Rattus norvegicus: one gene and its partners. Each later gene encodes a partner of the first gene's protein in a complex. Links are inferred from orthologs where the notes say so. Each region holds a gene or a part of one and is shown in the gene's direction. Other genes may lie near its edges.

Region 1 (4,336 bases):
TTATCACACCTACCAATTTATATATGGGTGTATTTCTGTTTTCCCCCTTGTTTGCTTGTTTTTGTTACATGGTTTCACTGACCTGGAACTAATCCAGAACGGCTATTCTGGCTAGCCTCTGAGCCTGTGTCTCTGCAGCACTGGCAATACAAGCACCAGCCACCATGACTGTCCCCCCACGCCCTCTGGGCTCTGGGGAATCAAGCTCCGGTCCTAACTGAACCATTTCCTAGACCCCCAAATTACCCACAAAACTGCTGCTGAAGCTTCTAGACCCTCCTCTTCTAACAGGGGGCATCCTGCTCTCAACTCCTGTCTGCTCCTTCTCCTAATTAACTGGCTACAGCATTCCTTTACTGTGACTCCTGGAATTGTGTTTAGCTGCACTATGACAAGAATCCCAGGGCACCTGACTAAGAGGCGCCTGAGGATCTGAAAGGGGGAGTTCTCAGGCTGCACAGCTGCAAAGGATCTGTGCTCTGTGCCGCCTCTGCCGGGAGGACATTTTGAATAGTTTAGTAATTGCAATGTGAGGGCAATTTTAAAGCCACACGTTAGCGCCGATCACCTTATGAATAGTAGTTTATGGTCCTGAAATAAATTCGGGGGTAGTTTATAATCCGATATGCAACACAGCGCCAAGCAATCCTTTTAGGAAACTTACATAGCACAAGAAATCCCTAATATTCTTCTGTGAGACATTTTCCTTCTAGTTTCGCCTCACTTGTTCCATTTAGCTACTGCCTCAAATGTTTAGAAATCTTTTCAAAGAGTCCTTACTTAGGTTATTCCATCCAGTTGATAGCTTAAGGCTAAAGATGGGGCCTACTCTGCCCTTACTTCAATAAGCTCAATATTTCATGCTTAGCTACTACCACCCTTTCCTTGGGTGATTGAAAGTGCTTCCAGTACTTGATACCCTTAGTATCGAGGACGAGCAATGTATCAAGTATGGCGACTCGCCTTCAAAGGGGGCTTTCACCGCAGGTAAGTTCAAAATGCACAGGCGTTAAAGGAAGCAAGGAGCAAGATAAAACTCACTCATCCAGTGTGACCACATGAATAGAATCAACCGAGCTATCTGGACCACAAGCATTTTAGGATGCTTCTTCACCTTTAAAACTGCGGGCCGGCCAGGTTCCAGGGTTCGCCCACATAGTGTGAATCTCCCCTAGTTACCTCTGCCGCAGCTCCCGCTGCCGCCCCGCATTGCAGCGGCGCGCCCCTGGCTGCAGCAAGGCGCGCGCCCCGGCGGCGGCGGCCCCGCCCCGCGGGCCCACGCAGGGAGGGGGCTCGGAGCCGAGCCCGCCTCTGCGGCGGTCAGGCCGGGCGCCCAATGGACGCGGCTGGTCCGGGGAGGGACCGTGACCAGCGGTCGCGCCCGCCCCTCCTCAGCTGCTACTTAAGAGGCTCCGGCGCGGGCGCCTCCGCCTCATTGCGTTACTTACCTCGACTCTTAGTTGTCGGGAACGGTAACCGGGACCCGGTGTCTGCTTCTATCACCCTCGCCTTCTAACCCGTAGCTATCATGGTGAGTGGTTTGGTCTGGAGAGGGGAGATGGAGGGGAGGGAGGAGCTCGCCCGGGGCTATGATCGAGGGGTGCGCGTGCGGAAGAGCTTGGGCCCCATGATGCTGGGGACGTCCGTGGTTTGGGGCAGAAGGGAAGCACTCGGATCTCTCTGGAATCCGGTCTCCAATCATCACACCCTGCGCAAAACCTGCAGCGTGGCGCTTTCAGACTGCTGTCTTCCCGCGGGGGCCCTTCCCCCATCCCTGACTTGCTTGCTGCTTTTCGGGCGCGCGCGGCTTTTCCCCGCCCTCACTTCCTCTTTAGCGCGAAAAGGCGGGGGCGGGAAGGCGCCGGAGACAAAGGACGCATGCGCAACCGTTACATTCCCGCCTGAGAGCGGCGGGAAGAGCCTCCGCAGTGTGCGCGTGCGCGCTGAGGCACTGCGGGTTTAATTCGTTTGGGTGTGTCTCCAGTTGGATCCCTGTTTTAAGCTGAAGTTCAAACGTAGGATCTCTACCATCCTAAACCAGCTACTGCCGAGTTGCAATCTCAGCCACGACCTTTTTGCTTTTAATGAAAGCAATAAGGAATTTGGGCAATATTCCCTCAAATCTCCAGTCAGAAATTTGGGTGGGACCAGATGATGACATTGACGTGTTTTGAGGGAACAGAAATCGGATCGCAGCAGTTGATAATCCCCTGCTGAACCAAGACAGATGTGGAGGAGCTGAACTCTGTGCCTACAAATAGAGGAAGCTGAAAGCCAACAGCCTCCAGGCTGCTCAAGGCGCATGCTCTCAAAATTGCTCCTTTACCACCTGCGGCAGAGCCCAGCCCCTTGTCCCTGCAGCGAGGCACCTCCCTGCCCTGCTCCAGCTGAGTGCTTCCTGTGCCTAGAATTGTTCTGAAATCTGGACACCAGAGCAAAAGTAGAGCTGAGACGGTAGATGAACGGCCTTTGTATATTGGTATTCAGAAAGGGAAAGCCGTAACCACGCCTAAGTGGCCGAATTTGTCACATTGTGCCACTAAGAACTCAATTGCTTGCAACATTGCTAATATTCTTTTCTTCCTTCCCTTCCACAGCGTGAGTGCATCTCCATCCACGTCGGCCAGGCTGGTGTCCAGATCGGCAATGCCTGCTGGGAGCTCTACTGCCTGGAACATGGCATCCAGCCTGATGGCCAGATGCCAAGCGACAAGACCATTGGGGGAGGAGATGACTCCTTCAACACCTTCTTCAGTGAGACAGGAGCTGGCAAGCACGTGCCCCGGGCGGTGTTCGTAGACCTGGAACCCACAGTTATTGGTAAGTGGACTGGGGGCTTCCCTGGGGCAGTCCTTCTTGGTCACATACTCAGAATGTCTCTCCAGACCCGGAAGGGTGAGTGAGCTTGTGGGGTCCTTGGTGGTGATGGCTGACGTCTTCTCCTTTTTCAGATGAAGTTCGCACTGGCACCTACCGCCAGCTCTTCCACCCAGAGCAGCTCATCACAGGCAAGGAAGATGCTGCCAATAACTATGCCCGTGGCCACTACACCATTGGCAAGGAGATCATTGACCTTGTCTTGGACAGAATTCGCAAGCTGGTAAATACCCTATGTGGATGGGTTTAAAATGCAGTGGGAGGGTGTCTTGGTATCTGTCAAAATGTGTCAGGTCTTTCCTATCAGGTAGAGATGGCTCACAGTCTAAAGGAATTGAAATAGTGTATGCCCTGGTAATAAGACATTATATGTCCTTTTCTCCCACAGGCTGACCAGTGCACGGGTCTCCAGGGCTTCTTGGTTTTCCACAGCTTTGGTGGGGGAACTGGCTCTGGGTTCACCTCCCTGCTGATGGAGAGGCTCTCTGTCGACTACGGAAAGAAGTCCAAGCTGGAGTTCTCCATTTACCCAGCCCCCCAGGTTTCCACTGCTGTGGTTGAGCCCTACAATTCCATCCTCACCACCCACACCACCCTGGAGCACTCTGATTGTGCCTTCATGGTAGACAATGAGGCCATCTATGACATCTGTCGTAGAAACCTCGACATTGAGCGCCCAACCTACACTAACCTTAACCGCCTTATTAGCCAGATTGTGTCTTCCATCACTGCTTCCCTCAGATTTGATGGGGCCCTGAATGTTGATCTGACAGAATTCCAGACCAACCTGGTGCCCTACCCTCGCATCCACTTCCCTCTGGCCACTTATGCCCCTGTCATCTCTGCTGAGAAAGCCTACCATGAACAGCTTTCTGTAGCAGAGATCACCAATGCCTGCTTTGAGCCAGCCAACCAGATGGTGAAATGTGACCCTCGCCATGGTAAATACATGGCTTGCTGCCTGCTGTACCGTGGTGATGTGGTCCCCAAAGATGTCAATGCTGCCATTGCCACCATCAAGACCAAGCGCAGCATCCAGTTTGTGGACTGGTGCCCCACTGGCTTCAAGGTTGGCATTAATTACCAGCCTCCCACTGTGGTACCTGGTGGCGACCTGGCCAAGGTCCAGAGAGCTGTGTGTATGCTGAGCAACACCACAGCCATTGCTGAGGCTTGGGCTCGCCTGGATCACAAGTTTGATCTGATGTATGCCAAGCGTGCCTTTGTGCACTGGTATGTGGGTGAGGGCATGGAGGAGGGAGAGTTCTCTGAAGCCCGTGAGGACATGGCTGCCCTAGAGAAGGATTATGAGGAGGTTGGTGTGGATTCTGTGGAGGGTGAGGGTGAGGAAGAAGGAGAGGAATACTAGTTCATTCCTGCAGTCCCTGTATCATGTCAAACTCAACTCCAGCTCCAGCACTAGCTGCAGGCATCGATGCTTCTATGCTGTTTCCCTTCT
Region 2 (2,741 bases), on another chromosome or scaffold:
TAAAAGTAGTCCAGGCAAACATGCCTGCTCACTCGTGGACTGACCTGCATTCTTCCTTTCGAGTTTATCTCCAGTTCTTTTCTGATTTTTTTTTGACAGTGAAGGGGTTCTGAGAGGCCAAAAAGAATCCTGTGGGGTTCCAGGGTGGGTGGCAGGCTAGATAGATCCTAGGAATCGCTTGAAATTGTAGGGATAAAAGTTCAGAAGATAGACCAGGTGAGGGAGGCAAACACAAGACACTAGTTCCTGTCCGTTCTCACCAGACAGGAATCTTGTTGCTCTAGGCCAGAAATGGTCGTGATTGGAGCATTTGCATGACTGCCAAGATGATTGGCTTGGGCATTAGGATGTTGGCGCAAGGTGGCACGTGCTTGGTCTCTATAAGGGCTGGGACACGCAGTATGAACTGGGGTGCAGGAGATGAGAAAATGGGGAGAAAAGACATTGCCCTGAACCAAGACGTCTTCATGTTATCTGGAGTTGGCTAAGAATGAATTTAGTTAGGTAGGGCTTGGGATGACTTGTATGAAGTGAATTTGGGGGCGGGGCATGAAGATCTAAGAGTTCTGCCACCTCCCCATCCTCCCTGCAGGCACCCACTACCTGCGTGGTGTGAATAATTCGCGACAACCATGGCACAGTACTGAAGGCAGACAGCAATACGGCCTTCGGCCAGCCAATCCCACTGAGGAGGGCCTGGCCAGCCTGCATAGTGTGCTGTTTCGAAAGCAACCGTTCCTGTGGCGTGCCGCCCTGCTCTACTATACCATCCACCAGGCGGCGCACATGTCCTTCCGCCAGCTCTTCCAGGATCTGGAGCAATACGTGCAAGATGAGGATGTACGCTGGGAGTACTGCGTCCGTGCCAAGCGAGGACAGACGGATACCTCACTGCCAGGTGGGAACTGTGGAGTCGGGAGAATGCTCAAGCCGGGGCAAGGTGAAGGGTGGCTTTTGGGTAAGGCTCGATTGGTTATCCCTCTCACAGGCTGCTTCAGCAAGGACCAGGTGTACCTGGATGGCATTTTGCGCATCCTGCGGCACCGTCAGACCATCGATTTCCAGCTGCTGACCTCGCTGGGCAAGGTAAAGGGCTGAAAGGCCCAACTAGCTCATCCTTCTTTGCCCTTCTGAGTCATATTCGATGAAGGCCTGAATACTTGGGAAGGCAGATAAAAGGAAACAAAGTTTTGGTAGCCCAGATCCGGTGTGTGACCTAGCCTGCAGGTGTGTGCATATGTGTTAAGGGAGGTGAGCGTTCCAAGACAGGGAGCAGTCAAGAAGTTTTGGGGAAGAGGGTGGGAGAAATGGCCAGGAATCAAGGCCCTCATCCTGTACCAGGTTAGGGAAAGCAAAGGGGATCAGGAGGGCTATCCTAATGTGTGGACATGGATTTATTTTCTTTAGGAGGTTCCTATTGGATGTCCTATGGGAAGTGCAGGAAATGAAAGGCCTAGATAGGCCAGAGCAGAAGGTCTTCCATCGCTCTGACAGAATTGATAATGGTCTGACCTAACCGGTCAGTGGCCACTACAGATAATAGAACTCTTTATCTGTTGGACTCTCTGAATGGGGACAGACAGCCGACATTCAGCAGTCTTTTGTTGGATATGGGAGATAACCTGAGAGAATCCCAGGTATCCACTGAATACTATTTAGAGGTGAGAGGATAAGCCAGGCTGCAGAGGAATGCATTGTTCAAGGTAGATAAAAGATGGAGAGAGAAAGAGAAGACCCAGGATAGAGCCTGAAGGTATCTAATGTAGGAGTCAATGAAGAATGAAGGCATCATCTTGGGAGCAAGTGGCCCTGGGCCATCAGGCACTTGAAAGCCAGGCACTTTGATTAGCCCTGAGGCTTAGTTTTCTTCCTGTAGGTCTCCTATGAAGATGTGGAACAACTGCGACCCCATGGGGTACTAGATAAAACCAGAGTGCCCCACTTCATGAAGGACTTGGATCGTTACCGGCAGCAGCTGGAACACATCATGACTACCAACCGGCTAGATGAAGCGGAGCTGGGCCGCCTGCTGCCTGACTGATATTGGCTAAGGGTTATAGACAGAAGCTCTTGCAGAGGTCTCAGATCAGAATACGAAGTTCTTTATGGTTCCATAGCCTAGGTGTTTCTTGGGGGCATTTGGGAGGACAGGAGCATCTTGGGAAGATGAGAAGCAACATCAGAAGGTTTTTGTCCTTGCTAACCTTCCTGGGGCCTGTGAACTAGCCGCAGCATGTCACATAAACTCCTGAACAGAGGAGGGGGGGGGATAGGATGGGAGCTGAGTGTGAATAGAAATGTGGGTTGGTTTGGGAATAGAAAATTGTTCCTGCATGAGATGGCTCTGGGTGTCTGGTACCACTCTTTCATTCCCCCAACCAAACCTGGTCTATTGGTGCTCCTTCAACATTCTTACTGTCTACCTCTCACTGGGGCCGGTGGGGGTGGGGATCCTCTCTGAGGTGACTTGCCTGAGCATAGGGTTCTGTCTGTCACTGAAGGACCCAGCTGGGCTGGGCTTTGCCGTTCAGCATTTTGTCTGTCTCACCGGTCATACATTGTTCCACAATTGCCTCCATGTGTTATTCCATGCCTCCAGGTGGGGCTGGGAAGCAGCAGCTCCTTGTGCAGGGGCAAGACACTTTGGAAAGTACCATTTGTTCCTAGACCCCTTTCTGACCACACACACAGACCCACTGAACTTCAGGTCTTATGAGTCCAGCACCTGGCCCCACCCACAG
Region 3 (4,411 bases), on another chromosome or scaffold:
TTACACACTGGGGTTTAGATCAGCCTACAATAGCAACCCAGTCTACAGCTCCTCAGACAGATACCTGGCTTACTTCTTACCCCTTTCTGCTCAAATGTCTGTTGTCTCTCCGTGGATACACAGCCCTAACCAATTTTTATTTCATTTTACAGGGTCTCACTCTGTGGTTTTGGCTGACCTGGAACTCGATTAGAAACTGTGGGGCTCTGAAGTCACTGAGATGCACTTGCCTCTTCCTCCTAAATCCTTGGATTCAAGATACTTGCCACGAGGCCACATGCCAATTTTTGTTTGTTTTGTTTTTTGAGACAGGGTCTCATCTCCAGTAGCTGAAGCCGGTCTTGAATTTCATTTAGATTCTCCTGCCTCTATTTTCCCAGTGCAGGGATTACAAACATGGGACACCATGTCCAGGCTCATCCACAGCTTGATCTGACTACATGCACTCTCTCCTCGGCACCTGAGGGACGGGTACCAGTACAGCATGCACTCTACCGACTGCCTTCTTCATGAGTAAGGTGGCTCTGACAATGACAGAAGTTTAGCACCTTGAAGCTTGCAGATGATGGTCAGTAAGTCCACCCATGCCCGAGATGGTGGGTTTCTGCGGCTTCCTAGAGGCTGGTCCACACGGTCCGCTCTGCAGTGACATCTTTCTCCTCCGCACCCAGGTTTCACAAATATACTATTGCTCCTTTCAAGCACTAGAATGCAGGCCACACGTGACGATGGTCCTAGGCTGGCATCCATTTCCCTTTTACGCCAAACCTGGGTGAGAGATGTTAGTGCCCACCAGGAAGGAGGCGTGGCTCGCGGTTGCTCCGGACACCCGAGAGAGCTGCGGGGATTGTTTCTCTAGGCTAATCTCGGGTGCCGTTCCCGAGCCTCACACACTCCGCCAGTCTTGGCAGAGACGTCTCGGCATCTCTGTCCAAAGACGCAGCGCCTGTTCGGACTGTAAAGGCACTCAGTTCTCAGGGAGCCGGCTTTGCCCAAAGGTAGAGACGAACCAGTCCCTGGACGCAGGAATGTGGCCCAATCAAGCAGCAGCGCCTGAGATTAGTCTCTCAAATTGCTGGGAAACAAGCTAGCCCTCAGTAGAGAATACTGCGCCTGCGCGGCATCCGGACAGGGGCGTGTCAGGGGCGTGTCCACTGTGGCAGGGGAGGGGAAGGAGCTGGATGGACAAGCGTGTCTACAGCCTTGAGGACGAAGTAGAGGCGGGGCCGAGGGTGTGTCCACAGCTACTAAGAACCCCGACTGGGCTAGGTTGGAGGGGCGTGTCCACTGGCCCGCAGAGGAGCAGGGCCGGGGCGGGGCTGAGGGTGTGTCTAGAGCGTCTGAAGAAGGGGACAGGTACGGAGCCTGCGGGAGGAGGGCGGGGCGAGCGGGGGGTGTTACGGGGCGGTGCCTACTGCGCTTGCGGAGAAAGGTGGGGCTGCGGGAGGCGGTAAGTGCGCCTGCGTGACGCGGCGGCGGCGCGTTAGCTCCCACCCGTTGGCAGCCGCCTCAGCTGCCGCTTCTCCGGGGCCGCGCACGCGCCGCCGCCGCCGCCCCCGGCCCGTGCTCGCACCGCGCCTGCCTCGCGCCTACCTTGGCCGGCGCTTGCCCGCTGCCGCCTGCCCGGCCTGCTCGGCGCCTTCTCGGCCTCGGCTCGGCGCCCGGAGCATGCAGCAGCAGCCTGGGTGGCGGCGGCGGCCGTGAAGTAAGGGCCGTGCGCCCGGGCGGGCGGCGCGGGAGGGCGGCGGCGTCTTTGTTGCGGCCGGGCCGCCGCGGCCTTTGTCTGCAGATGGTGGACGCGGGCGGTCGCTCTGCCGCCGAAGGCTGGAGGAGGATGGAGGCACCCCCGGAGGGCGCGGACCTGGTGCCGCTGGACCGCTACGACGCGGCGCGGGCCAAGATCGCCGCCAACCTGCAGTGGATCTGTGCGAAGGCCTATGGCCTAGGTGGGCGGGCGCGGCGGGGTCCGGGGTCGGGGGATGGGAATACAGGGGACCGAGGGGGAACGAATCCGGTTCCGGGATGGTACTAGAGGGTAGCGGACGGGGGACGCACTGGTTTTGGATGCGACCGGGAGGTGTCGGACGGGTGCGGGAGCCGGGGGATGGGACCAGAGCCCAGGTCGGACTGGGACGGGGGATGGGACCAGAGGGGAACGCGGCGGTTGCTGAATAGGACGGGAGGGAGACCGACGGGGAACGAACTAGACCAGGTGTGAGACCAGAGGGGTCAGAATAGGGGACTGACATGCCGGGGGATGAGACCACAGGTTTGGACGCTGGACGGACAGGGCAGGTTGGGACCAGAGGGGATCTGACAGGTCGGGGGCTGGGGAGGATAGGACGCACGGGAGTGGGGTGTAAGGTCTAAGGACAAGGGATGGAGACAGAGCCAAGGTTGAGAATGAGGCCGGTGACAGGGCCAAGGCGCGCCTTCGCGTGGTGTCGGTTCAAGTCTTGCTGTTCTGGCAGCGGCCCAGGTGAGCGAGCGCTGAGGTAGCCCAGGGTCGGTCCAGGCACGGGACTGCGCTCGCGTGTCATCCGTGCTCTGAGTCTCGGGTGGGCGGAGGGTGCCTATCATGTGCAGTGTTATTCTTTGTCGACTGGGCTGGTCCTCTGAGTCCAAGGACTCTTACCTGAATAACCACTGCCTTACTGCATCAGGATGGCTAGAAGGCTGGGTAGTTTGAGACTTAGTCCCAGCCACTCTGGTTTATATATTATGAATTTTGGTTTGGTACTTAACACGAGCTATTGAATACTCCAAGATAAACTGTGTGTAACATAGATTGTGCAGAAACCATCATTATCTCCTTTGGTTAATTCCCGTTGTGAAGAACAAGGTAACCTTGTAATGAAGCCCCATTTATGAAGCCTAATATGCTTAGTAGGATTAAGACGCTCTAGTGTGGTACTCTGGGAACTTTGCAGACCAAACAGTGCTGTAATGAGTTGACTGGGAAGCTCTAGTATCAGGACAAGTATCTTGTTTTAGGCATAAAGCTATGATAAATGAAGCATAAATTATCCTCGTGTTGGCAAAAACATTACCTGAAGACTGGGTTACTGAGATAACCCTTTCAGGAAAGGGTTAGGTGACCACATTGGAAAACTTGCTAAGCAGGTGTTCTCTGTGACAGTGGCCTCCAACTAGTCATAGTTTTGTGAGCCTTGGGATTAAATAAACTGCTTACACTGTGGTGTAAAACTAGCAGTGAGGAAGAAATTCTTTTATAATTTTCAGTTTGAAATTCTTTAACAATTTTCAGTCTTACAATTCTTGGTCACTGTTTCTGTTGAGTTGTAGGTTTTGCAAGGTGGTAAGGAAAGATTGCTGTGTACCTGGCTTCACTGACTTAAACAAGTGCAATTGAAGATGGGTGGCGGTGGCCCATGCTTTTAATCCCAACACTTCACACAGAGAAACCCTGTCTTGAACACCTGCGCCGCCCCCCCCCCCCCCCAATGTGCAATTGAGGAAAGGTGTTTGATACCTAACTAGAGCGGATAGCGAGTGCCTGGCCACCAGTCTTACCCTCTTTCCTTTGCTGATTCCACACACCCGGCTCTGCCCCACCTCCCACCTAATGTCATCATTGTTTTGCTTGACATTATTCTAAGCTATATCATTCAATTTTGCCTTTCTTTCTTTCTTTCTTTCTTTCTTTCTTTCTTTCTTTCTCTCTCTTTCTCTCTCTTTCTCTCTTTCTCTCTTTCTCTCTTTCTCTCTTTCTAAAAACGAACAGTATGTGCCATGGAATTTCCTAGGTAGAGCAGTCTGGCTTTGAACTCACAGAGATCCATTGCCTCTGTCTTCTGAGTGCTGGAATTAAAGACGTGTGCTCATTTTTTGTATTTCACAATTTATTTAATGTACATTGGTGGTTTGACTGCATGTATTTCTGTGTGACAGAGGTCAGATCCCCTGGATTAGGAGTTACAGACATTTGTGAGCTGACACTTGGGTGCTGGGAATTGAACCTGGGTCCTCTGGAAGAGCAGCTAGTGCTCTTACCCACTGGGCCACCTCTCCTGCCCTGTAGTTGTTCTTAGGTTCATCCTAACTGTCAGCATCCTTTTCTTCACTGTGTAGTATTTGGCCAAGGCTAGCCTACCCCGTGTCCTGGTGTAGTCTGTATTCTCAGGCAGAGCTCTCATCCTATCTACAAGTCTTCACTCTGGTGTATATGGATTGTTTGAACCTGTGTGCTGGGGTTGGAACTCAGGGCTTTGCTAGGCAGGTGCTCTTCTGTTTTCAAGGTCGGCATGGGGAAGTAGTTACTTGGATTCTGTTTCCTTAACAAGGTGAGCCTGTTTGGTTTTGTTTAACCTTAGCATTCAGCTTGCAGGGTATGGTATCCAGAGATAAGTTTTCCTTTCTCATTGTTGGCACCTGGTGGTTTAGTTTTATT

What was found.
Region 2: the proteins of Tuba1b (region 1) and Matcap1 are in contact, whole or in part, in a cryo-EM structure (PDB 7Z6S), measured with the Homo sapiens proteins. The link is inferred for Rattus norvegicus from reciprocal best matches to the Homo sapiens genes TUBA1B and MATCAP1. Residues at the interface, in NP_006073.2 of Homo sapiens: Asp345, Trp346, Arg422, Glu423, Ala426, Ala427, Glu429, Lys430, Asp431, Glu433, Glu434, Val435, Gly436, Val437, Asp438, Ser439, Val440, Glu441; in NP_001035805.1 of Homo sapiens: Lys219, Cys220, Trp223, Val226, Arg227, Gly237, Glu238, Val239, Val240, Val241, Gln242, Leu243, Met253, Met254, Val255, Glu256, Asn257, Ser258, Arg259, Pro260, Thr261.
Region 3: the proteins of Tuba1b (region 1) and Camsap1 are in contact, whole or in part, in a cryo-EM structure (PDB 6QUS), measured with the Homo sapiens proteins. The link is inferred for Rattus norvegicus from reciprocal best matches to the Homo sapiens genes TUBA1B and CAMSAP1. Residues at the interface, in NP_006073.2 of Homo sapiens: Lys112, Glu113, Asp116, Val409, Gly410, Glu411, Gly412, Glu415; in NP_056262.3 of Homo sapiens: Ser1471, Ser1472, Lys1473, Lys1557, Ile1568, Pro1569, Ala1570, Ser1574, Val1575, Ser1576.

What each region holds. Positions count from the first base shown.
Region 1 is NC_086025.1:131,969,681-131,974,016, reverse strand, and holds the start of Tuba1b (tubulin alpha-1B chain), read left to right. Parts: upstream 1-1,429; 5' UTR 1,430-1,528; coding exon 1,529-1,531; intron 1,532-2,597; coding exon 2,598-2,820; intron 2,821-2,951; coding exon 2,952-3,100; intron 3,101-3,265; coding exon 3,266-4,246; 3' UTR 4,247-4,336. UniProt on the Homo sapiens protein: Tubulin is the major constituent of microtubules, protein filaments consisting of alpha- and beta-tubulin heterodimers. Microtubules grow by the addition of GTP-tubulin dimers to the microtubule end, where a stabilizing cap forms.
Region 2 is NC_086037.1:50,068,386-50,071,126, reverse strand, and holds the end of Matcap1 (microtubule-associated tyrosine carboxypeptidase), read left to right. Parts: intron 1-592; coding exon 593-898; intron 899-988; coding exon 989-1,086; intron 1,087-1,876; coding exon 1,877-2,041; 3' UTR 2,042-2,112; downstream 2,113-2,741. UniProt on the Homo sapiens protein: Tyrosine carboxypeptidase that removes the C-terminal tyrosine residue of alpha-tubulin, thereby regulating microtubule dynamics and function. Also able to remove the C-terminal phenylalanine residue of alpha-tubulin TUBA8.
Region 3 is NC_086021.1:29,201,254-29,205,664, reverse strand, and holds the start of Camsap1 (calmodulin-regulated spectrin-associated protein 1), read left to right. Parts: upstream 1-1,480; 5' UTR 1,481-1,789; coding exon 1,790-1,946; intron 1,947-4,411. UniProt on the Homo sapiens protein: Key microtubule-organizing protein that specifically binds the minus-end of non-centrosomal microtubules and regulates their dynamics and organization. Specifically recognizes growing microtubule minus-ends and stabilizes microtubules.